Linked DNA regions of Elephas maximus indicus. The protein of the gene in region 2 interacts with the protein of the main gene of each other region in a biochemical or structural test. Links are inferred from orthologs where the notes say so. Each region holds a gene or a part of one and is shown on either strand. Other genes may lie near its edges. The genes, in order: MAPK11, ATF2 and MAPK13.

Region 1 (8,133 bases), on a different chromosome or scaffold from region 2:
TTCTCAGAGACCAGGCCAGTCAGAGCATCCAAAAGAGGTGTCACTCATGTGCCTGGTGAATTCAGACCATGGGGCAGCAGAGACATGGACAAAGGCAACGGGGACACAGTCTGGGGGTGCTGAGCTGGGGATGTGGGGGAGGGGGCTGGGAACCAGGAGGTCTGGCCTCCAGACTCGGCCCCTGCAGCCACCTCCACCTCCACCCCGTTCAGCATCCAAGCAAGAGGAAAAGGGAGAAGGAAGGGCTCAGTGAGAAACTCCCTCACCTGCCCCCTCCCCCCATGAAGCTTGGGGTAAGACCTTCAGGTCCAACAGTCTTAAGTTTAGGTGAGGTTTTCACCCCTCACCTCCCTTTCAGGACAGTGAGGACTGTGAAGGGACCTGGGGGCTGTCCTTTCTTAGGGCCAACAGAGGAGCAAAATTTGGTGGTGTATGATGGGGTACACAGGGGTGGACAGGACAGCATGGTCAGGATGCCAACAGAAGAGGCCTGCCCGCCCTTCCTGCCACTTCTGGTCTACCTGAGAGGAGAGAGAGGTGGGGAGGTGGCGCAAGTGGGCAACTGCTTCGGAGCCATGGGTGAATCTTCCCCTAAGCAGCCCCTCCTCTTTCTTTGCTGAGTGACCTCCCGCCCCTCCCCACCATGGGGTATGTGCTTGTGCAGGAAGTAGGCTCTGACGGCAGAGAAGCAACGTCTGACCAGACAGGAGTGGTCTAGGAGACCAGTGGGAGCCTGGATGGGTGGGAGGGCAGTGGAGACAGAGAGAAAGGGTGGGGTTTTGATATTTAGGGGGGACACTGTAGGGGTGGAGGGAGACTGGGGTGGTCTGGGAGGAGGAGGCCAGGGTTCTGGCCTGGGTGGGAGCCTCTTGGGCTGAAGGCACCCCTTGGAGGTGTCCATCCTCAGGCCTGCCTCTCACCCGGCCCCCACCACGTCTGGTCCTCCCCCACCTATAGCACTCCCCCAAGCCCCACCCCCCCACCGCCATCCCTCCCACCCCCCCGCCTACCCCGCCCCTGGCCCTCATTTTTGTTTCCCTTAGTGGAGTTCGGGCCTGCTCGGGTTCCCCGCGGTGCCTCTCTCCCTGCATGGCTTCCTGGGGGCGGGGGCCTTCCCTGATTCCCCCAGGCCCCGACTGTCCCCTCTTCCTGGTGGGCGGTCTCTAAGCACTCACCACCTTCCCAAACCCGCCAGTAGTCGCTCCAGACCATTCAATCGCCCCCACCCCAGGGGCCTCTCCAGCCTGCTGGCATCCGGGGGCGCCCAGTGTACGTCTGCTGAGGCCTACGAGAGGGTCCCCACTCTGCCAGGCCGCTGAGTCCTGATCTGCCCTAACCCCTCACCGCCGGGATTCTGGGGGCGCTGCGGGGGCGGGGCAGGCGGGGTCTCCTCGGGCCGCGGGAGGGATTGGGGGATAGGAGGCGGTGCCCAGCCCCCATAAGGGGCGAAGGGCGGTGCCCGGCCACAGTGCGGGGTAGGGGCGGGGCCGGTCGCCATGGGAACGCACACACTGGCGGCTCCCCTCCCCCGCGGGTGGCCTCTAGGCCGCAGTTCCCACACCCCAGAGGCCTCGGCTCCCGCCCCTTTTTCCTCCTTTAGCTGAAGCTCCATTAACTTTGCACAAAACCTCTGCCTGCATCCGCCGTTGGTGAAAGGACCCCTCATGGCGGGGGCCTTTTCAGGGAGGCCCCGCGGGCTCGGGGTCGGAGAGTGGCGTCCTCACCCCCCCCAACTGCAGCGCGCCCGCGCCAGGCCCTGGAACAGATACCCACTCTCGGAAGAGAAACTGAGGCCCAGCATGGCTCAGGACTTGCCCAGGGTCACGGACAGTGGCCGCGCGGTGCAACTCGGACCCCGCAGCCTTTGTCCGCATCTCGCCCGCCCCACGTCTGGATTCGCCGGGCACTTGTGTTCGTTTTCCTCTGTACCGCGTTAACATTTTTTAATTTGGTTGCCAATATTTGAAATTCATAAGATTTCACACAAAAACTCGGATTTGAGCTTCTTTTGAAAAAGTAGAAGTCTGGGCAATTGGGGCCTGAATTCCACTTCCCTGGGAACAGGATCCCCCAGCACCCTCACTGGCCCCCAGGGTGGAGGTCAGGAGCCACACGGAGCAAAGAGCTTCTCCGAACTCACGTTATTTTTAAAGCGGGAAACAGAAGTAGACTGAGGCCCAGAGCGCCAGAAAAACGCTGGCTAGAACGTTTGGTGGACCGGCGAACACACTCACCTGCCCCGGGTTAAAGCAGGCTGTAAGAACTAAACCCTGAAGGCCACGCGAAGGGACCGACCGGCCCTTACTCCCGTCACCTACTCTGCGGCTGCGAGGGCTGAATTCGAAGCCCCTGCAGCCCAGAGGCGGATTGCTCACTCCCGGGAAAAGCCAGGGAGCTTCCTGAAAGGTGGGAAGGAGGTAGAAGACACCAAGGAGGATGATGTATTTAGGTACCCTCCTCGTAGGCACAGCACCCCAAACGCCCCGCCCCCTCGAAGCCGCTGTCCCTGGTCCTGACAGAGCTGGTCCCTGGGCCCCGGCGGTCACGCCTCTCCCGGGCCAACCCGATGAGCAGGAACCCCTGCTGAGGGCCGACAGCAAGCCATGGAAGGTTCACCAGGAGAGGAGCCACAACCACCAAGGCCAGAGCTTCCCCCACGGGAAGGGAAACCAGGCACTGCCATATGCCACCGAGGCAGTGGCCCTGTCTAAGGGCCTTTTTGGTTGATTTTTTAAACAAGACACCTAGTTTTTAAGTAGTATCTCCTTTCTTCTCGATAAGGAGCCCTGGTGGAGCAGTGGTTAAGAGTTTCAGCTGCTAACCGGAAGGATAGCGGTTCCAACCCACCAATCTGCAGGAGAAAGATGTGGCAGTCTGCTTCCTCAGAAACCCTATGGGGCAATTCTACTCTGTCCTACAGGGTCGCTGTGAGCCATGATCGACTCCACGCCACACAACAACAAACTTTCTTGATGAAAAATCTTTCCCAATGCTCACCCCTGGCTTCCTCGATTTTGACAGTTCTCCCTGGTTTCTGAGGGTAACACTGGGGAGACTCGGTGCCCACGCCTCACCTTCCCCGTAAGTGTGGCAAGGGGCAGGGCAGGTGGCAGGAGGTGAGGACAGATCAAGGGGAGAAGAGATAATGTGGGATCCGGGGCTGGAGGCAGGCGAGGTTTCGGGCAGATCCGCATCGGGGCCCCAAGGCTCCGCTGACCAGGGAGTGCGGAATCCGAGCGGGATAGGGGGTGCGGAGACCCAAGCAGGCTGAGGGAGATGCGGGCCACAGCAAGTTGGGGGAGGTGCAGGCCACAAAAGGCTGGGTGATGCGGGGACCCAAACAAGCTGAGGGGTACAGGAACCCAAGGGGGCTGGGAGGCATGGGAACAGGCTGGCCACAGCAGGCTGTGGGAGGTGCGGGCCACAAACGTCTGGGGGATGCGGGGACCCAAACAGGCTGCGGGGTTGCGAAGATCCGCGCGGGCGGGGGGTGCGAGGAGAGGCGGTAGCATCGGCCTGGACAAGGCGGTGCCCAGGCCGGAGACAGGACGCGGGCGACGTTTGGGGGAAGCGCGAGGCCCCAGGAGGTAGGAGGGGACCGAGAGAGGAAGCCGCCCCCCGCCCTCCCCACCGCGGCCGCGCGGGCCCGCCCCCGGCACCGCCCCGGGCTGCGAGGCCGCCCAGAAGGGGGAGGGCAGGCGGGTTTCCGCCCGACCGCCGCCTCAGAGGGGCAGGAAGCCGCGCGCTGGCCCGAGAATCCCCCCCGCCCCCGGCCACCCAGCCCGGGAAACCCCCCGCCGGTCCCGCCCCACCCACCGCCTCCTCCTGCCGCCCTCCGGCTCCTCCCGGGCTCCGGCGCGCGGCGCGGGGCCAAACTGGGCCGAGGAGGCAGCTCCGGACATGTCGGACCCCCGCGCCGGCTTCTACCGGCAGGAGCTGAACAAGACGGTGTGGGAGGTGCCGCAGCGGCTGCAGGGGCTACGCCCGGTGGGCTCCGGCGCCTACGGCTCGGTCTGGTAGGGGCGGGGCGGGGGTGGGCGGGGTGGGGGCGGGACGGGGCCGAGTGCGCCCCCTCCCCCCCTGCGGGGCCCCGGCGTGGGGAGGGGCCTCGCCTGCCCCCGCCCCCGGCCCGGCGCCGAGCGGAGGAAGGAATGGGGGGCGCGAAGGAAACTTTCCTCCCAGAGGCCGCTCCCGACCTGGGCGGGGGTGTCCTCTGGCTCAGCACGACCCGGAGCGCCGCCACCCCGGCCCGGATCCTGCGAGAGGGTGGGTTTCCCGAGCCCCTGAAGGCCTGAGCACGAATCTGACGTTCCCTGAGTCAAGGGTCTGGCAGCCCCCAGGGTCTGCAGACGGCCCCCCTGCTCCCCGGTGGGTGTTTTTGTTTGAAAAGGGGCAGCCCAGGTGGGAAAAGATGAAGACCTCCGCCCTTAGGCCGGTCTCAGGCTTCACCCGCGGGCCCTGCCCCTCCTCCTTTTCCGGGGGGATCAGGCTCCGGAGTAGGGGCTTAGGCCAGAGCAGAGGGGATCTGCAGCCACGTATTTCTGCCCCAACCAAGGGAGCTCAGGTGATAGCCCTGCAGCTGGACCCTGAGGCGTCCAGCCTGGGGCCCTGTCAGATGGTCGAGTCTGCGTGGGGCGTCCGGGACGCCTGCAGGCCTCCTTCCCCTGGTACTGGGGTTTGGAGAGGACTTAGGATGAGGTGGTTACAGGGAGCCCTGAGGCGATGTTTAAATGTTGACAGGCTGAGGCTGATGCTTGGGTGTGGACGTTGAGAGATGCGCCCCAGCACCCAGTAGGGTCTTTACCAGCGCTGCTGCCAGGTGGCTGCCGTCCACTGGAGGGGGAGGCAGGGGCCACGAGGGTGTGGCGGGTTGTTGCTCCAGGCTCTTGCAGACCGTTAGGAGGGGCAATTCCTCGTAGCTTCTTGGAGTCAAGAGCAGAGGCTTGGGGTCCGCAGGCTGATCTCACTGGTCCTTGCAGGCTGTCAGGAGCTTCGGGCAAGCCATTTCAGCTGGTTCAGCCATTCCAGCCTGAGGCCTCGGTCTTCAAGGGCAGGGGGAGGGTCTGGGACAATACATGAGTGCATCCGGGGGACCTGCAGAGCCACACTGGACTCACCTCTGCCCAGGGAATTGTCAGTCTGGGAGTTGGGGAGGAAGTGGATTTCTCCTGCTGCATCTCGGGCAGTGTTTGCATGGCCCCGGTGCAGGGGGATAGCCCTGTCCTGGGCTCTGCTGGTGCAGGCAGCAGCTGGGGATGGGGTGCGGACTCCTGTCAACTCCACTGCGCAGACGCAATCAGACAAAAGGGTTTGCTGCCAGAGATGAGGGGCCACTTGCCTCATCACCCCCCCCACAGGTGCTGGGACCATTGTAGGGTGGGTCATAAGCTTGAGGGGGCATGGATACCCCAGGCACCTGACCAGCATCCCTGTACCACCCCCCCCACCACCACTCTGATCCCCCATGAGCATGGAAGCCCTATCAGGACAGCCTGAGGCTCCATTCACTCTTCCTGAGGATAGGGGGAGGGAGCCCAGCAGACAGGAAGTGAAGCTGGAGGGAGGGAAAGGAACAGGCTGTGCAAACCCCTCCATGCCTGGGCTCCAAGCTGCGTTCAGTAGTCGGGTCCTGGTAGTGAGGACAGTGGGGACCATGGATGGGTGGGCGATGACCCTGTCCCATTTGTGTTTGAGGACTGTAGCAGGGACTGCTGTGTCTCAGGTGGCCTTAGGCAGGTGAGGGGCTGGTGCCAGACAGTCTGGACCTGTGGGGAGTGGGGTTGGGCAAGCTGACATGTTCCGTGTGTCCAGGCACCACTCTCGGCTGAACATTTCACATCGTCCACTTTTACACTGTTAAAAATAATGATGCAATAAACACCTTTGACCAGTTTTCCCTCCATATCTTGAATATATTTCCAGGACCAGGGCCCAGAGGAGGTGTTGAGAGTCCAGGGGATTTGGGGGGGAGGTCTGGGGAGCCTCCCAGAGCCCATGGGGCCATGAGGGACGGAGAGGAACGTTTCCTGACATGTCATTTGCACGCTGGCTGGCGGGGGCTCTTCCTGGGCCTAGCACTGCGTTGGGGGAAGAGTCCGTGGGCTGGGAAGCAGGAGGCGAAAGAACCGAGTCCTGTGGTGGGGCCCCGGGTAGCTCGTTCTGCTGGTGGTGGTGGGAGCTGACCCTCCTCTTGAGGAGGGAGTAGGTGTGGACGGGACGCAGAGGAGGAGGGCTTGTCCAGCCACACGCCAGCCAGCCCAGCTCTCGCCCCGACCCTGCCGTCGGCAGCCGGCAGAGGCCCCGCCCGAGGGGCTCACGTCTGAGCCAGGCCCCGGGATGGGATGCGGGGAGCGGGGCCCGGCGCAGCGGAGGGGCCAGGGAGAGGCGCTCAGGCGGCCGGCGGCTCGGCGCCCGGCCCGGCCCTCTCCTCCCGGCTCCCCGCGTGCCGGCCTGGGGCGGGGGGCCAGGGCTGAGCCCAGACCCGTCGGCGTGGCCTCACTCGCCCGCCTTCCAGCTCGGCCTACGACGCGCGGCTGCGCCAGAAGGTGGCGGTGAAGAAGCTGTCACGCCCCTTCCAGTCGCTGATCCACGCGCGGAGGACGTACCGCGAGCTGCGGCTGCTCAAGCACCTGAAGCACGAGAATGTGAGCTGGGGGAGGGCCAAGAGGGCGGGCGGACCAATGGGGCCGGGGCGGCCTGGGGGCAGGCCAATGGGGGCCTGGAGCGCTGTGGGGGCGGAGCGCCCTGGGACGGACCAATGGGGCGGGGAGCGCCAGGGGGCGGAGCCACCGGGGCGCGGCGGGCCTGGCGCAAGGGGGGGTGAGTGCGTCCCTCTGAGGCCTCGGGGGCGGGGCCACGATAGCCTGGGGGCGGGGCCAACGAAGGGACCGCCCTAGGGTGGGGCTACGATGGTCTGGGCGTGGCCAAAGGGGCGGGGCCTGGGCCGGTCGGGGGTTGCCCAGGGGCTGAGCCGCACCCCCCAACCCCAGGTAATCGGGCTTCTGGACGTCTTCACTCCGGCCACGTCCATTGACGACTTCAGCGAAGTGTGAGAGCGAGGCGGGTGCGGCGGGGCCTGGGGAGCGCATTCGGGGAGGCCGGCGGCGGCGCTCTCTCCTGACCCCTGACCCCTACCCAGGTACCTGGTGACCACCCTGATGGGCGCAGACCTGAACAACATCGTCAAATGCCAGGCGCTGAGCGACGAGCACGTCCAGTTCCTGGTTTACCAGCTGCTGCGCGGGCTGAAGGTTCACTGCTGGGGAGGAGGCTCCGAAGTCCCTCCTCGGTGGGGGGCATGGCGGGGTGGGGGAGTCGGGAGAGGGGGCGGAAGGCGAGGCTCACCGTCCTGTGCTCTTCCCCTCCCCCGCAGTACATCCACTCGGCCGGCATCATCCACCGGGTAGGTGCGGGTGGGCAGGGTGTCCTCGGTCCTGGATGTGGGTCCTCTTGAACCATGCTGTCCACCTGGCTCATGGCTTCCTCGCTGCAGGACCTGAAGCCCAGTAATGTGGCAGTGAATGAGGACTGTGAACTCAGGGTGAGGGGCCACGAACCAGAGGGGCAAGTTGGGAGGGGAGGGCGGAGGCAGCTAGTGGGTGCTGACAAGGTTTTGCTGTTGTCCCAGATCCTGGACTTTGGGCTGGCACGCCAGGCCGATGAGGAGATGACCGGCTATGTGGCCACGCGCTGGTACCGGGCACCTGAGATCATGCTCAACTGGATGCACTATAACCAGACAGGTGCCTGTCAGGGCCAGGTGGGAAGGCAGAGCTCACGGCAGGGCTGAGAGGTGAAGGGAGAGCAGGGGAGAGACGGGCTATGGACCCGCATCAGACACAGGCCTTCAGAGGGGCTAGACAGGTGCCTGTCAGGGCCAGGTGGGGAGGCAGAGCTCACGGCAGGGCTGAGGGGCGAAGGGAGAGCAAGGGGAGAGAGGGGCTATGGACCAGCATCAGACACAGGCCTTCAGAAGGGCCAGACAGGTGCCTGTCAGGGCCAGGTGGGGAGGCAGAGCTCACGGCAGGGCTGAGGGGCGAAGGGAGAGCAAGGGGAGAGAGGGGCTATGGACCAGCATCAGACACAGGCCTTCAGAGGGGCCAGACAGGTGCCTGTCAGGGCCAGGTGGGAAGG
Region 2 (8,133 bases):
GCCTGTTGATGCTGACCTTGAGTTGTAACCTGTCACATCCCTAATAAACCTCACAGTTGTGAGTATTGTCTGTGAGTTCTGTCTGCTGGTGCAATAAATTATCGAACCCAGTAGAGAAGTAGAGAGTACCATGGGAGAGATGGCTGGTGTCAGAACTGGTAAAAAGTTTGGTGAGTGGAGGTATGTTTGACCTCCACCTCATAGGAATTATTAGCCTTGGGCTGCTGATCTTGATTTGCTCTCCTTGTCCTTGTGAAGTTAGAGGAGGTCAGACGCCACCGCACCGTTTTTACTGGTTGTCAAAAAGAACAAATGAAAACAAATATATGTAAAATGCATAGTACAGTACATGGCACTCTAGTATCATCTATTAAGTTTCTTCTAAGTTTTGGCATATTTTACTTTGGCTTTAAACATGTGTTTTCCTAATGCTTACTTAATGTCTAATCTTATCAATTTGTTTATTTTTAAAATTAGAAACTAAGAACTGCATATTTAATTTAACTTTTAGACAAGATTTTTACACTAATCTTTAACCCACGGATTTGATGTTATTTGTAAGTTTATTTGGTACACAACGTTCAGTTCATTCATCAATGTAAGGAAATCAAAGTTCTCAGAAGTGAGAAAGATAAGCCCAGCTTTAATGAGAAAAGCAGCAGTTCTTAATGTTTTCCCCACTCACAATAGACATGACAGATGCCCTTCACACATATTACAACTCTAAGAGTACATTAAGGTTCTGATGAAACTCTTTAAAGTTGATACAAAACATAAAGAGCATCATAGACTTTTCTCAATACTGTATTCATGAAAGTATGTTATGAGTAGGTGAATAATGAAATCAGATCAATACTTCAAAATATTCTTTAATAAAAATTCAATAACCCAAATTTTTAAGTTAAACTTTATTTTTTAAGTGAGTCTTGATTATTACCAGACCTCTGATCCCTAGGTATAAGGTAAGCAAGTTCTTGTCTTATAATTTAAAATTATAATAGAAAAATACAAATAATTTACAGATAATGGTTATGAATATTAACGTATCAATGGACATTTTATTAATAGCATTTTAGATTTGGTAGTGGTGTTATATATATAATGTTCACAGCATTACTTTTGTTCAAGGTAGATATATAAAATGTACTTATCTATCGTAGAAGATTTTATGGAAATTACAGTATCACAATTTTATCACCGCAAAATATGAATATGCTGTACTGCTCAAGTTTTATATAGAAAAATTCTGAGGGGAAGAGGCATATACAGACCACAACTATGAGATATTCTTTCACATGGATTTATGATAAATCTACAATTATAAGTTCCACCCCAAGTTACAGTTCCTAGGGAAAACCCAACTTTCCTAAGGCTGCGAAATAAATAGGTGGTTGCTATATTGCCTTCAAACTGCAGCACAAGTATGTCAGGAGGGGTAGGCCATATTATTTCTAAATGATATTCAATTCAATGTTAAAATATACAAAAACTGATAATAACTACTCTCCTGTTGGGCATTTAAAATTGAGCAAATTTAATACATCATTTGGTGAGTGATTGCAAAACCGTTAGACATTGTAAATGTTATATAACATGGGAAAATGCCGATACTATTTTAAAAAAACATAAAGCTACATTGTAATTCTGTAAACACTATAATGTATATATACAAAATAGAAGAAAAATAATGAAAACAGTTAGTATGGCAAAACTGAAGTTGATTTCTAGTTACACTGCTATAATAGCTGCTCAATAAATAAACTGGAAGAACAAAGCCATTAAATTACAGTGACAGAGTTTAGGTTCAATTAGGTAAATTAAAGAATATTTAGGGAACATATTTACAAATTTAAGGCCAATATTATAGACAAAGTCAACCACAGACTTTCAAAAGAACCAAAATACATTTGGTATTTTGCCAATTACAATCATTCCCACCATCTTTTCCTACCAATTTCATTGAGGATCTCAGTGGTAATAAGCCACTACTACTTTCGGGAGTGCTTTCTATTCCTTGGGCATCAAGGCAGAAGAAAAATGGTTGCCAATTGTCTTTGTTAAGATACAGAATGTAGACATGAATGAACAGGCCTAGCCCCCAAAGCAGTTTATTTATATCCTTTCTTGTTGGGGGGGGGAATTTTTAATTACTACAATTTTACCACATCATTTATTTTTCTATTGACAAAAATGCCAAGGGGGAAAAAAAGCATCACTAAACATGCTTAAAAATGAAAATAAATTTTTAATGAAATTATACCTTACTCCAACTTTTTAACCTTGTGCTTGAGAAACAGAAAAAATGAAATAAAATGTTTTGTGGGGTTTTCTCTTAGATATAAATTGATGGACATTATCTAATAATGACTACCTGATCATTAAAAATTATATAAAGAGAATATGATGCATTTTAGACAAGTTCTTAACCTCACTGAATACATATAAAATAAACACTAAACTACTAAATTAAACTGTTTTTTTATAAAATGCAAAGGCTTTTAGGGGTGCATTTGAATTACAAAAAATAGCGTAACTAGTACTGTTATTTATTAATTTTTATGAGGATCAGCTGAATATCCAATAATTCTTGAAACTGTTACTCAGTTTGTTTTAAATTGAGAGGTTTTGGTGGACATTTTGTTTTAAGTAAGAAAGACTTCAACTACTTTATCCTCTCTAAGGACATTTCAACAAAAACACACACACAAAAAAAGAAGTGCCAGCTTAAAGGCAGATTTCATATCAGAATGAAGAGCTCAAAGGCAAAATGGAAAACAGTATGCACGGTGGGATTATTCCCCTGATCTAAAACGATCCTTGAATTTAATTTACCAGCAGAAAAAACCCACTGTCATCTCGATTCCGACTCTGTGACCCTATACCAGCAGAGGACATATAAATCATTACAACCCAACTTTTCCAAAATATAAAAATTTAGATAGAAAAAGTGTGGATGATTTCTTGAGAGTTAATGCTAGTTAGAAGTTCGATGTATAGCATATAATTTTTATGTTATACTACTACAGCTTCCAAACTCTAAATACCAATAAATCCCCCCAATTATCTATTAAACAGCTGACATGGTAACTATTTCTACTGTTATCTTAATTTAAAAATAAGAAACAAATACTTCAAGTAAAAAAGTAAATGCAAGAATTTCTGGATTGCATGATTTTTAATACATAATATAGTGGCCCAAATACCAAATAAACATTCTAACATGGTATTTAAAGAGATTTCCAGCAAATGCAATAAAATCTGTATAAGGCATTGCGTACCTTAAAAACATATACACGAAAAGTTCCTGAAAGCGCCTTCCTTACCGACAATTAAAATACAAAATGCCTACATTTTAATTACAACATTATATTCTAAATAATTTTAAAAGAATAGCAGTGGCATCCTCTCAAAGCAAGATTAAAGATTTGTTAGGGAGGCAACACACCGAAACCAAAAAACCAAACCTACTGCCGTCCAGTCAGTCAATTCCGACTCATAGTGACCCTACAGGACAGAGCAGAGCTGCCCCAGAGTTTCCAAAGCTGTAATCTTTCCAGAAGCAGATTGCCGCATCTTTTTCCCAAGGTGCAGCTGGTGCACAGGAACCCAGAACTTAAAGTTAGCAAGCCTTGTGCTTAACCACTTCACTGCCAGGCCTCCTTAGGCAACACACAAACCCGAACCAAACCAAACCCACTGCCGTTGAGTCCATTCCGACTCATAGCGACCCGATAAGCAATATACACACCACTGTAAACTTGAAAGATTCTTACAAATTATATTACAAAGCTAAGGATTCTTGATTATTATCGAAGGTCTTCAAGGTCCATGAACTTTCTTGATCTGCAGAAGGGCATCTAGTTTTTTAAAAAAAAACTTGAAAGGATGTTCCTCCAATTTCTGAAAAAAGTGTTTACAGAGGATGCCTGAAGTCAGTGTGACAAATTTAAATACAAGATATAACTGCTACTGTATTTGTAATTCAGGGCAGTTAACCCACATAGGGTTGACTTCTTACAATAAAGTCGCACCTTCATAATTTTGGTTCAATAGACCAAGGTTATACGGTTATTTAAAGATTCTGAGGGGGAACTGCTGCCACTGACAATGTCAATGGTTATGAATTTCTTCATATAGGACAAAAAGTGTGCTCAGAGAAACAGTTTCTGTTCTGACTTCAAATACATTAATAGTATGCATTGTTACTGTTTCTGTAATTTAAGATTACTAAGAAACTACTTGCATATTATAATTTAGGAATAAATGAATAGGTCTAAGTAATGTGTTTCACTCCATCATATTCACAGTAGTTTTACTCTCGCCTCACCAGTTTTAAGACTCCCTATTAAAAAAGACTTTTTTTTTTACTACCTACCCACCAAACCAAACCCACTGTCATGGAGTCGACTGGGACTCATAGCGACCCTATAGGACAGAGTAGAACTGCCCCATACGGTTTCCAAGGCTGTAAATAAATATTCACGGTAGCAGACTGCCACATCTTCCTCCTGGCTGGCGGGTTCGAACCCCAACCTTCTGGTTAGCAGACGAGCTCCACCAGAGCTCCTTTATACTACCTAAGACCACAAAAATAATCCCCAGCTCTTCCGCCCTCTCCTTAGCTTCGGTTCCACCAGCGTGCGTAGAAAACAAGCAAACACACACACACACACACACACACACACACACGGGAGCGCGCGCGCACACACACACACACAATCTCTCTTTCTGTCCTGGTCCCTGGGGCATCGATAAACAGCACAGATTATTTCCCTACAGAAGCTCTGGTGTCCACCCAGAGAGATAAAAAATGGGGGAAAACGCCAGAATCAACCCGCACCCACACCTCAGCCCCGCCCCACTGGGAAAAAGAGGGGGGTGGCGAGTGTGTGAGGGTGGCAGAAAGGACAGAAAAGGCCGGGCCTCCTAATTCCCAGGCTCACCATACCATTCGCTCCATCAGGTTTCACCGCAGGCAGGGACCCAGACCCTGTTTTCAGCCGTACATGCCGATCTACTCCCCATTCCACACCCCACATACAAATAGTCCCGGCCGCTGGGTCTTGGGTGGGGAGACCACAGCCGACCCTCTTCCCGCCCAAGCTAAGGGCCGAGGGAGGTCTCCCCGCGCCCTCGGCAGGTCCGACCTGTGCTCCAGGAGCCTCCGAGCCGACCGAAGAAGGGGAAGATAAATCGGAGGGAGGGGTCTGAGAGGAGCCGTTATTTCTTTTTCCTCTTCGTTAGGAAAGCGCGCGAGCGGGGAGGGGCCGGAACAACGAACGCCAGTTACCTAAAGGTCCGGCCGGGCTAGACAGCCTCCTGAAGCCGACGCCGGCAGGCTGCTGAGGTGGCAGCACAGCCACAGTCGCCCCGAGGGCTAGGGACGGAGGCAGGGGCGCCCCAGGTGCTGGGAAGCGGGGGGTGGGGACTGTGGTGAGCGACGTCGCCATGTTAGCGCCTTCTTTCTCGGTACCCCACAGTCTCCAGTCTGCAGCAATCTCCCCATCACTACTCACCTTTCCAGGTCACTAATGCATGCGCCCTTCGGCTGCCCGGAGCCCCGTGTTTACAAACCACCCCTGGAGGAAAGGGCTGAACCGTACTTTAAAGGCCACGGGCTCCCACAGGCTTCCGTCCTCTCTCGCGAGATCGGACTGACAACCCTTCTCCCCGCCCCACTCCCGGCATCCTCCCCATTCTTCTCATGCCCCTCCCCTCCACGCGCACGCCCCTTCTTGCCTTCCTTCGGAAGGAGCGACTCCGGGTCAGGTGGTTCCGTCAGCCTTGACGAAGGAGGCGGGACTCAGAAGGGTGGGGATGGAGGGGGCGGGAACCAAAAACACTCGGGCACTGGTGATTGGACAAGGAGACCGAAGGGCGGGAAGCAGTTCTGGAGGGGGCGGGAGTACAGAGACCAGTAACCCGTTGCTTTCCAGTCCATTTCAACTCGTAGCGACCCTATAGGACGGGGTAGAACTGGCCCATAGGGTTTCCAAAAGAGACTGCCACACCTTTCTCCCGCGGAGCAATTTGTGGGTTTGAACCGCTAACCTATCGGTTAGCAGCCGAGTTCTTAACGATTTCTCAGTAACCCTGGAGCTGCCGGAGGCTGTGATTGGCAGCTAGCGGGCGCGGGAGCAGGTGGCGGTTGAGGTCTCGGAGGGGATTAGTGGTGTGCAGGGAGAAGAGGTGAGTTCAGGAAAGGCTGCGAGTGAGGAGAGAGAAAGCCGGTGAGTTGCCAGCCCTGGGAACCGGGTAGTTTTCGTTGCTGTCACTTCCTGGCCCATGGTGGAGACGTGAGTAAAGCTATGGTAAGGGGAGTTTAGGTTAAGCTGAGGTTTGGGAGAGACGGAATTGGGTCAAAACCAAACCACACTCAGTGCCGTCGAGTCGATTCCGACTCATAGCGACCCTATAGGAGAGTAGAACTGCCCCGGGTAGTTACCCCCAAATCCCCTACATGCCTAAAGAGGGAAAGAGGATAAGACGAAAAAGCTTTTAATCTGAGCGGTGTTTGTTGAAATTTTACTAAGCTGTAAGTGGAACTGATTCAGGCTCCTTTTTCCCAGCATCAAAATTAAACACTTTTATGCATTAAAGGACTTTATCAACAAAGTGAAGAGTTGTTGTTAGGCGCTGTCAAGTCAGTTCCAACTCACAGCAACTCTGTGTACAACACAAGGAAACACTGACCAGTCTTCTGCCATCCTAAGAATTGTTGCTATCAGTGAGCCCATCATTGCAACCATTGTGTAAATCTATCTCGTTGAGGGTCTTCATCTCTTTCTGACCCTCTACTTACCAAGCATGATGTCCTTCTCCAGGGACTGGTCCCTCCCGATAACATGTCCAAAGTACTTGAGACGAAGTCTCGCCATGCTCACATCTAAGGAGCATTCTGACTGTACTTCTTCCAAGACAAATTTGTTTGTTCTTTTGGCAGCCCATGGTATATTCAATATTCTTCACCAACACAGTACTTCAAAGGCATCGATTTTTCTTCAGTCTTCCTTATTCATTGTCCAGTATTGCATGTGTATAAGCTGAATGAAAATACCATGGTTTGGGACAGGCACACCTTAGTCCTCAAAGTGATATCTTTGCCCTTTAACACTTTAAAGAGGTCTTTTGTAGCACAGTTGCCCAATGCAGTATATCGTTTGATTTCTTGACTCCGGCTTCCATGGGTGTTGATTGTGGATCCAAGAAAAATGAAAATTCTTGACAACTTCAATATTTTCTCCATTTATCATGATGTTGCCAATTGGTCCAGTTGTAAGGATTTTGGGGAGAAATTTTTTGGGAACCATATATAAATATATAACCATATATAAATAAGGGTTTAATATCCAGTTTAATATATAGAAGCAAGGATGGTGAGACTGCATCTTACATACTTTGGACATGTTGTCAGGAGGGATCAGTCTCTGGAGAAGGACATCATGCTTGGCAAAGTACAGGGTCAGCAGAAAAGAGGAAGACCCTCAACGAGGTGGATCGACACAGTGGCTGCAACAATGGGCTCAAGCATAACTATTGTAAGGATGGTGCAGGACCAGGTAGTGTTTTGTTCTGTTGTAAATAGGGTCGCTATGAGTTAGAACCGACTCGATGGCACCTAACAACAACAACATATATAAAAAGAAAACACTGGTGGCATAGTGTTTAAGTGCTATAGTTACTAACCAAAGGGTCAGCCATTCAAATCCACCAGGTGCTCTTTGGAAACTCTATGGGGGCAGTTCTACTCTGTCCTATAGGGTCACTATGATCTGGAATTGACTCGGTGGCAATAGGTTTTGGTTTTGTATATATAAAAAAGACAAGACATTTCCCCAAAGGAGATATACAAATGCCCAAAAAACACATGAAAAGGTGCTCAGTATCTTAGGGAAATGAGACACCACTTCACCCTCACTAGTATGGCTATGATTAAAAAACAAAAACAGAAAACAACATATGCTGGCAAGGATGTGGAGAAATTAGATCCCTCATCCATTGCTGGTTGTTGTTGTAAGTTGCCATCAAGTTGGCCCTGACTCATAGCAACCCCATGCACCTCCTGGTCCTGCATTATCCCCTTGATCACTTGTGATTCATAAGGGTTTCACTGGCTGATTTTCAGGTAGATCA
Region 3 (8,133 bases), on a different chromosome or scaffold from region 2:
ACCCCAGGTGTGTCAGAATAGAATTGTGCTCCACAGGGTTTTCAATGGCTGTAATCTTATATAAGTAGGTCACCAGGCCTTTTTTCGGTGGTTCTCCTGGATGGATTTGAACCACCAACCTTTCTGTTAGTAGTTAAGAGAAACCATTTGTGATACCCATGGACCTTCCCCCTATAATCTAGCTTCTGTTCCTGCCCTACCGCCAAAACAGTTCAGATCTAGGTCACCAACAGGTCGGATCAAGATACACCCATAGTTCCCATTTTTCATATTTGACCTTGTGCAAAGTCTGACACTCTCTCAAAGATCTCTGCCGATTCTCTCATCTTACCATGTTCTGCACTTACCTCTTCCTGTCCCTAGCCCAGACCTTCCTCTCCTGAGTTCTAGATTTGTTTGCAACTGCTGGTTAAATGCTTGAATGTTCACAGGCTCTTCAAAAGTGAACTTCTAAAATAAAGTTCGTATCTTTCCCCCAAGACCAGTTCTTTCTCCTTGTATTCCAAACAGGAACCTGGGTATCCCCCCGCCCCCTGCCCCCGGCCATCTCAATCAGCCACTGCATCCCAGCAGATACAACATTCTGCCCCACATGGTTCTCAAGTCTGCTCTTGGCATCCCATCACCTCTACTTTAGACTAAGGTCTCCGAGCTGCTGCCTGCTCCTTTCTCACTGCTGACAGAGCTGTTGTTGTTAGCTGTCATCCAGTCAGCCCCTGACTCATGGTGAACCCATGCACAACGGAATGAAACACTATCCAGTTGTATACCATCCCCATGATCAGTTGTAGATCAGACCATTGAGGCCTATCAGGTTTTCACTGGCTGATTTTCAGAAGGAGATAGTAGGCCTTTCTTCCTAGTCCATCTTAGTCTGGAAGTTCTGCTGAAACCTGTTCAGCACCATAGCAACAGGCAAGCCTCCACCAACATGTGGGTGGTAGCTGGGCATGTGGTGCATTGGCTGGGAATTGAACCTGGGTCTCCTGCACGGAGGATGAGAATTCTACCACCAAACCACAATGCCTCCTGCTGCCAGATAGCATCCCCAAATCTGAATGAACTATATCACCTCCCTGTTCAAAATCTCCATGGACTTGAGGCTGCCTGTAGGATCAAGTGTGGACTCAGCTTGACTGAACCAGCCACCGGTGTCCGCTCACCACGCTGTATTTCTCAAAATTGCCCAGACATTCCTTTCTCTTTCCTTCATCTCAGCCTTTGCCCACACAGTTCCTTCTACCTCCAGCCCCTTCTACCTCAGGCAAACTTCAATTCATCCTTCAGGACTGAGTTCAAATGTCACTTCCTCTGTAATGTCCCCTGAAGCAGCACATAGTCCCCAGAATTCTGCTCATACCTAGAGCACTGACCACACTACTGTCATTCTTCATTTAAAAACTGCCCGCTGTACCCTCCATCCCACCCAACACATGGTGCCTTGAGCAGGGGCTGGTGCTTGGTCCTGGTCCGCTTTGAATTCCCAATGCTAAGCCCAGCAATTGGCATTATAGGAAACAACTCAATTCAAAAATATTGCATGAAATTTAAAACAAAAGCATGCTAACAAAGAGGCCTTCAGTTGCATTGAAATAGAATTAAAAAAAAAAAAAAATCCACCTTCCTAAAGGCTTCGAAATCTTAGATCAGGCACTGCATTAGTGAAGCTATAAAGTTAGTAACTATATTTTCTGGCTCTGGGTAATTCTGTCAAATACCTCATTGGCCAGAGGTGGCCAAGGCTTCCCAATCCTCGCTTTATGCTAGAAGGAGCCCCTAGGTTCAGACTTGCACCTGGGCCTCTGGTGAATGGCCAGGTGAGTTGCTACAAACCCTGTGAGGTCTGACAGGTATGTGTATGTGTGTGCGTCTGTGTGCGTGCGTGTGTGCGTGTGTGTGTGTGTGTGTGTGTGTGGTGTTAAGGCTGGGTAACTAGCAACGCAGCTTTTCAGACAGCTCCAGGCCCAGTAAGCACCCTACAAAGCCCCTCCTACCTCTTCCTGCCTGCCTTCCTCTCCTCCCTTGGCTGAAAGAATCTCTTCAGAGAGAATCACACCTTGATAGCCCAGATGCACAGGGCAAGAGCACCCTCCCACTCCCACCCCAAGAGAGAATATGGATCCTCCCCCAACTGGCTCCTGAGTGGCAAGAGGGACCTACAAACGCCCCAGAGCCCAGTGCAGTTGACTCACAAGTCATGGAAGTTGCGCAGGGAGGAGGCTGGGGTGAAGACATCCAGGAGCCCAATGACCTGGGGAAAGGGTCATCAGTGAGAGCTGAACAGCAGATGGCCTCTCCTCATCCCTCTTGTAGGGCTCCAGCCATACACAGGACCAACCACCCTTTCCTAATACACCACCTCCAGCAGGAGGTAAGCCCCCAGGCTTCTTGGGAGAGAACTTGCAATAAACAGTGATGAAGAGTCAGGCTGGGGAGAAGGGGAGGGGGACGTTCCTATGCTCATTGCTCCCAAATCTGGTCTTCAGGGCAAGCAGCACAAATCCAGTCTCAACTCAAGCAGGGACCCAAGGGTGACAAAGGGTGTAAAGGAAGGGCTGGGGAAAGAGCCTTGCTACATGTATCCCTGCCTGCCACAGGGCTGGTTTGGAACTAGGGGCAAGATCACCCCTGGCTGGAGGCCAAAGGGGATGGGTTTGCTGAAGAGGGAGAGGGCTAAAAAATGTGCACAATATTTTGAAATCATGATTTTGATTGTTTGCCCTCCAATCTAGGTGTCCTGGAGCAAAACTTGGTTGTGAGGCCCAGCACTGGGTCACTGGTTTTCCTAGACATTTCTATCAGATGGGACAGGGTAATGGTTATGCACTCAGGCCTGGAGTCAGGATGCTGAGGACCAAATCCACTAACTAGCCATATAACCTGTGAGCTTTTCTGTGCCCCAGTTTTCCGATCTGTAAAATGGGAGCAATATTACTTGTCTCATGTGGCATTATGAAGATTAAACAAGTCAGTTTATGCAAAGCTCTTAGAACAGTGCCTGACACATAGTAAGTGTTCAGTAAGTATCCACTATTATTATTATTGGAGTCCTGGTGGCAAAGTGGTTAAGAGCCCAGCTGCTAACCAAAAGGTCAGCAGTTCAAATCCACCAGCTGCTCCTTGGAAACCCTATGGGGAAGTTCTACTCTGTCCTACAGGTTGCTATGAGTCGAAATCGACTTGACAGCAACGGGTTTGGTTTTTATTATTATTATCTGGGTCATCCATGGAGACAACCGTAGCTAAGAGTCTAGTCCCAGCTGGCCACCTGCTCTCAGGCCTAGGACAAATCACAAAGTTCCTCTGTGCCCATTTCCTCATAACAGTGAGACTGTAGTTTGTACCTTACAAAGCCCATTCTGCTCCATTGCCACAACTACTCTTCGCACTCTTTCTGGGAATTGAGCAGGGCAGGTTCTGACGTCCCCATTTTTATAATGAGGTGAGGAAAAGAAAGCTACTGGGAAGGGGCGGTGTAGCAGGGAGATTTCCGGTCTCTGGGCCCCGTCCTGAGCTCTCCGTACTCTCTCAGGCCGTCTCCAGCACCCACCCAGGGGCCTGCCCGTAAGCACCCCCCGGGCCCAGCCTACGTTCTCATGTTGCATGTGTTTCAGCAGCAACAGCTCCCGATAGGCCCGCTTGGCAAACATCTCAGACTGGAAGGGCCGACTCAGCTTCTTGATGGCTACCTTCTCCCCTGACCGCTTGTCGATGGCAGAGCTGTAGGGACACAGGCAGGTCAGCTGGAAGCACCCACCTCAGATCCAGGTAGTACCTCCCAGGTGACTCCGGGGATCCCAGGAGGTCCTCCCTCTCCCACTCCTTCATCCCCATCGTGGGCTAGGCTGGGGAGGACATGATGCCAACCACCTGGAATGTGGGGGAGCAGCAGGAAGCACAATGAGGTGTACTGCACTACAGCCAGACATGTGTTAAGGTGGACAAGGTCAGGTGCAGGGCGGGAACCTCACTCTCCATGCAACTGGGAGTCACGTCCTCCTCTTTGGGCCTCAGTGTAGCTAGCTCTAATTCAACCCAGAGAGACCCACACAGCCGCCCAATGAGAAAAATGAGATGGCGCTATGTCGCCTCTGACACAGCCTGGGGCTTCTCCCTCATCCTCCACTCTGCAGTCCAGCCTCCCTCTCCCTCCCAGCTCCAGGAAAAGCCCCTGGGAGGGCCTTCAAACCCTCAGGATGCTGGGCCTTGGGGGTCCTAGGTTAAGGTTGTGGGTATCCATCCCAGAGCAGCCAGCAGAAGGGGACACCTAGGGCCAGCCCGAGAGTGCAGACGGTGAAGCGGTCCAGGCCCACGCTTGTGGGGAGGCTCCCCTCGCGTCCCAGTGCCTAGGCGCCCGCCCACCGTCCGCCCCGACGGTCTCAGGCCCCCTAAGCCCCCAGCGGCCGCGCAGGCCCGAGGGTCTCACCACACGGCTCCATAGGCCCCGCTGCCTACGTGCGTCGGGGACACGTAGGTCTTGGGCAGCTCCCAGGCGGTCTTGTTGACGTCCTGCTTGTAGAAGCCCTTTCTCCGGGTGAGGCTCATCCCGGGCACCCAATGCGGAAGACTCAGCTTGGCGGCTGCGTTCGCGGCGCGCCGGGCTCCCAGAGCCCGGGTCCCCGCTCTCGGTCCCGCGCCGAGCCCGCCCCGCGCAGCCCGCTCCTCCCCCCGCAAGGGCGGGGACACCGGGCCCGCGACGCGTCCCACCTGCCGGCGCGCCCAGGTGCACAGGGCGCGGCCACTCCCGGGCCTGCCCCGACAGCCCTGCGCTGGGGAGGCCCATGTTTGCGTGCAGCTGTGAGAGTGCGTGGCCCTGAGGACAGACAGATCCCGAAGCGGCAGGTGCGGGCCACCTGAACAGACTCGCTGTCCTGCGGGAACCGGGAGCTTCCAGGTCGAGGGCGCGGGGGCGAGGATTTGAGGACCAGAGGGGCTTCCACGTGGGGCGGAGGACTTGGAAGAGGGGGCCTTCTAGCTCCCGTACAGCCGGGACTCTAGGAATAGCTCGCCGGGAATTTCGGAGACGATTTCAGATAAAAACAAAACTGTTTATTATGGAAAATAGCAAAATATACAAGAGTAGACAGAATAGCCCGGTGCTTCTCACGCTTGAATGTGCACACGAATCCCCTGAGAATTTTATTAAAATGCAGATTCTGGTTCAGTAGGTCCGGGGTGGGGCCGCAAGTCTGCATCTCCAACCAGCTCCCAAGCTCAGAGGGCCTCTGGGCCACGCTGGGAGTATGGAGCTCTGATGAACTCCATGACCCCAATCTCTCAGCTTTAACAATGACATCAACTCATGGACAGTTTTATCTACAAGCCCTTCTCTCAACCCCATTATTTTCAAAGCCCAGGCATCATATTTCATTCATAAATATTTTTTGTATCCCTAAAAGATAAGGATTATTTTTAAAAACATAACCTCAATATCATTTTACACTTAATAACTGTAGCTCCATAATATCAAGTATCCAGTCTAGGTTCAAAATTTCCGGTATCGAGCATAGTTTTTGCTGGCTCCGGAGGGCAATTACAAACCAAGGCTTTCTGCCACCTATGTCTGGTGGTTTGTGCAGCCTGAAGATGATTTCTGGGCTGAAATTAAATCACAGAGGCCCCTGAGGACCAAAGGGGAGGTCTCCGGATGCCTTTGCCTGGGACACCTCCCCTGTCCCAACTTGTCTGACGCACGGTGGCCTGGAGATGGGGGTGAGGAAGGAGTGGGGACCACTTGCTCCACTTTGTTGAAGGGAGAGGAGGGGTCTTGAAGATGGAAAGGAACTTTCCATGGCCTTTAGCAAGCTGGAGATCTGCACTAGGCGATCTGCAGGCCCCAAACCCAGCCCCACAGCCTGTCCCATAAAGACCGGCTTGGCCTTCCTTGCCCAGGCACCACCTGGAAAATCATTTCCGGGCGAGGGATCTGACAGAAATGCCCAACAGGCATTTTAGGCAGGAAATTGATCCTATTCATCTTTGGCACGCAGTAGGACCAATAAATGTATGGAGAATGAAAGGAGGAGTCAGCCTATTAGAAATGAAAAAATATTTAATAAACACTTGTTTGTCATGTGCCAGACATTGCTCTAAGTGTTTTACATACACAGCTCACTTAATCCTGGTAAGAGGCCTATGAATCAGTACTGTTATTATCCTCATTTAGAGATGAGCAGCCTGAGGTACAGAGAGGTTAAATACCTTGCTCAAGGTCACACAGCTGGTACGGGCCAGAGCTAGGTGAAGAAGCTAGTACAGCCTGGTTCGGGAGCCCCTGCTCTTGACCACGAGGGTTTGCAGGGTATGCAGGTTGAGACAAGAGGCATTGCTCTTTTAAGGAAATGTCCTGTGTTTCAAATAATCTGCCTCGCCAGCATCAAAGGACGGGTCTATAGGTCAAACCATATCTCTTCCAGCCCATCCTGCCCTGGGGTATCTGACAGGTTCCCTGCCTTCTTCCCAGCCCCATCCCCCTACTCCAGCCTTGGGACCCTCTGGGAGGAGAAGGGATTGCGAGCCTGGGGGCCCTGCAGGATGTCAGACCTTTGGGGTTGATGGTGCCAGAGGAAGGCACTTTGTTCCTGAAGCTGGGCAGTGTTAAAAAAAAAATCAACGCCCAAAGAAATTAAAATATAGGATTTACCTTGAGCAGTTATTGTATACGCATATAGGGAGACCATCCTGATTTCTAAAAAAACAAATGACTCAATGTAGGCTAGTTACAATGAAATTTATAAAGAGAAGAGGAAGGAGAATAGAAAATCAACCATTGGCAAATCTTAGCGTGATTGATTGAACCCTGTCCCCTCTACTGAGATCAGCTGACATCAGGTTGCTAGGTGATCTCTGGCCTTGGTAGAGGGGCGGGGAGGGCCATCATTTGCACAAATGTTTAGGTGTAGTCCAGAGGTGTTCAAATGATAAAAATTACCTCATCTCTCAGGAAGGAAAGGGAATTACCTAAAGTTACTTTCTTTTTTGCATTAGACAAACCCTGACCTACCTGTGGTTAGCAAATGTCTTTATCACAAAGGGGTTTGCAAAGATTTTATCACTGTCCTTATTATTAACACTCCTTTAAGAAGCTGGAAAAACCCAATTTAATAATTCAACAGTTTTGGGGGGTCAGGCTTTTACTGTTAACTTTGGACTCAAGGGTAAGATAAGATGTCTGTTATTCATTTTTTTTTTTTTTCCATAGCAAGGTCCCGGAAGCCAGAGCATAGAGCTGGGGTACAGGCAAAGGAGAGGTGTCTGGAGACTCAAGCTTCCTTCTAAGCTGGGGATCCAGTTGTCCAGGGTAGGGAAGGGGCTGGGACTTGGGCCAGACCTTGGGATGGAGGATAAAGAAGGTGTGGCTGCATCCTCTGGGTGGTGTCTTGAGAACCTGAGCATGGCAGGGAAGATCCCACCCAGCAGGGTGAGGAATACCAAGAACATGACTGTTGGCCAAGTGGGTGCAATCCTGAGAGACACAAACCTGCTACTCTGGCTGTAGCTCTGGACACCTCTTGAGCAAGGGCCAGGAAGTGACTCAGGCCTCAGACTCCACAGACACTGACCCCCACCTTGGGCCTGAGGAGGGTCCCTCCCCCAGCTCGGCCTGTGTTTACTGAGCAGCCAGATGGCCTCAGAGGGAAGCACTTTGGAGGACCCAGTCCAGGAAATCTTGAATGGGGGAGGAAGAGGATGGATTCACTGAGGACCTCCTGGATGCCCTCCCTCCCACAGTCCACCCACTCTCTCCTCTTGGAGCTCCAAGGCCCCTTTGCTCTTTTGCTCCCCAGACACCGACCCAAAGTTGTCTTGTTGGTTTCTGCCCTATTCACACTGAGGCAGGAGCTTAAGGAACCAACCTTGGAATGAGACCTGAATTTGCATCTGGCTCTGCCACTTACCAGCTTTGTGACCCTGGGCGAAATGCCTTCCCCTCTGTGAACTTGAGTGTCCTTGTAAAATGGGGATGATATTAAAGTATGACAAAACCATTTGCAGTTGAGTTGATTCTGACTCATGGCGACACCTTGTGTTGTAGAGTAGAACTGCTTCATAGGATTTTCTTGGCTGTGATCTTTATGTAAGCAGATCACCAGGCCTTTCTTCTGTGGTGCCACTGGGTGGATTTGAACCACT

What was found.
Region 1: of the proteins of ATF2 (region 2) and MAPK11, one has a biochemical effect on the other in vitro, tested with the Homo sapiens proteins (4 studies listed by BioGRID and IntAct). The link is inferred for Elephas maximus indicus from reciprocal best matches to the Homo sapiens genes ATF2 and MAPK11.
Region 3: of the proteins of ATF2 (region 2) and MAPK13, one has a biochemical effect on the other in vitro, tested with the Homo sapiens proteins (2 studies listed by BioGRID and IntAct). The link is inferred for Elephas maximus indicus from reciprocal best matches to the Homo sapiens genes ATF2 and MAPK13.

What each region holds. Positions count from the first base shown.
Region 1 is NC_064822.1:196,617,462-196,625,594, reverse strand, and holds the start of MAPK11 (mitogen-activated protein kinase 11), read left to right. Parts: upstream 1-3,789; 5' UTR 3,790-3,900; coding exon 3,901-4,016; intron 4,017-6,514; coding exon 6,515-6,644; intron 6,645-6,989; coding exon 6,990-7,048; intron 7,049-7,138; coding exon 7,139-7,250; exon of another isoform or gene 7,251-7,258; intron 7,259-7,344; exon of another isoform or gene 7,345-7,372; coding exon 7,373-7,402; exon of another isoform or gene 7,403-7,492; coding exon 7,493-7,540; intron 7,541-7,606; exon of another isoform or gene 7,607-7,627; coding exon 7,628-7,742; exon of another isoform or gene 7,743-8,133. UniProt on the Homo sapiens protein: Serine/threonine kinase which acts as an essential component of the MAP kinase signal transduction pathway.
Region 2 is NC_064824.1:73,232,292-73,240,424, forward strand, and holds the start of ATF2 (cyclic AMP-dependent transcription factor ATF-2), read right to left. Parts: upstream 5,652-8,133; 5' UTR 5,517-5,651; intron 1-5,516. UniProt on the Homo sapiens protein: Transcriptional activator which regulates the transcription of various genes, including those involved in anti-apoptosis, cell growth, and DNA damage response.
Region 3 is NC_064819.1:99,810,557-99,818,689, reverse strand, and holds the start of MAPK13 (mitogen-activated protein kinase 13), read right to left. Parts: upstream 4,665-8,133; 5' UTR 4,546-4,664; coding exon 4,427-4,545; intron 3,721-4,426; coding exon 3,591-3,720; intron 2,252-3,590; coding exon 2,193-2,251; intron 1-2,192. UniProt on the Homo sapiens protein: Serine/threonine kinase which acts as an essential component of the MAP kinase signal transduction pathway.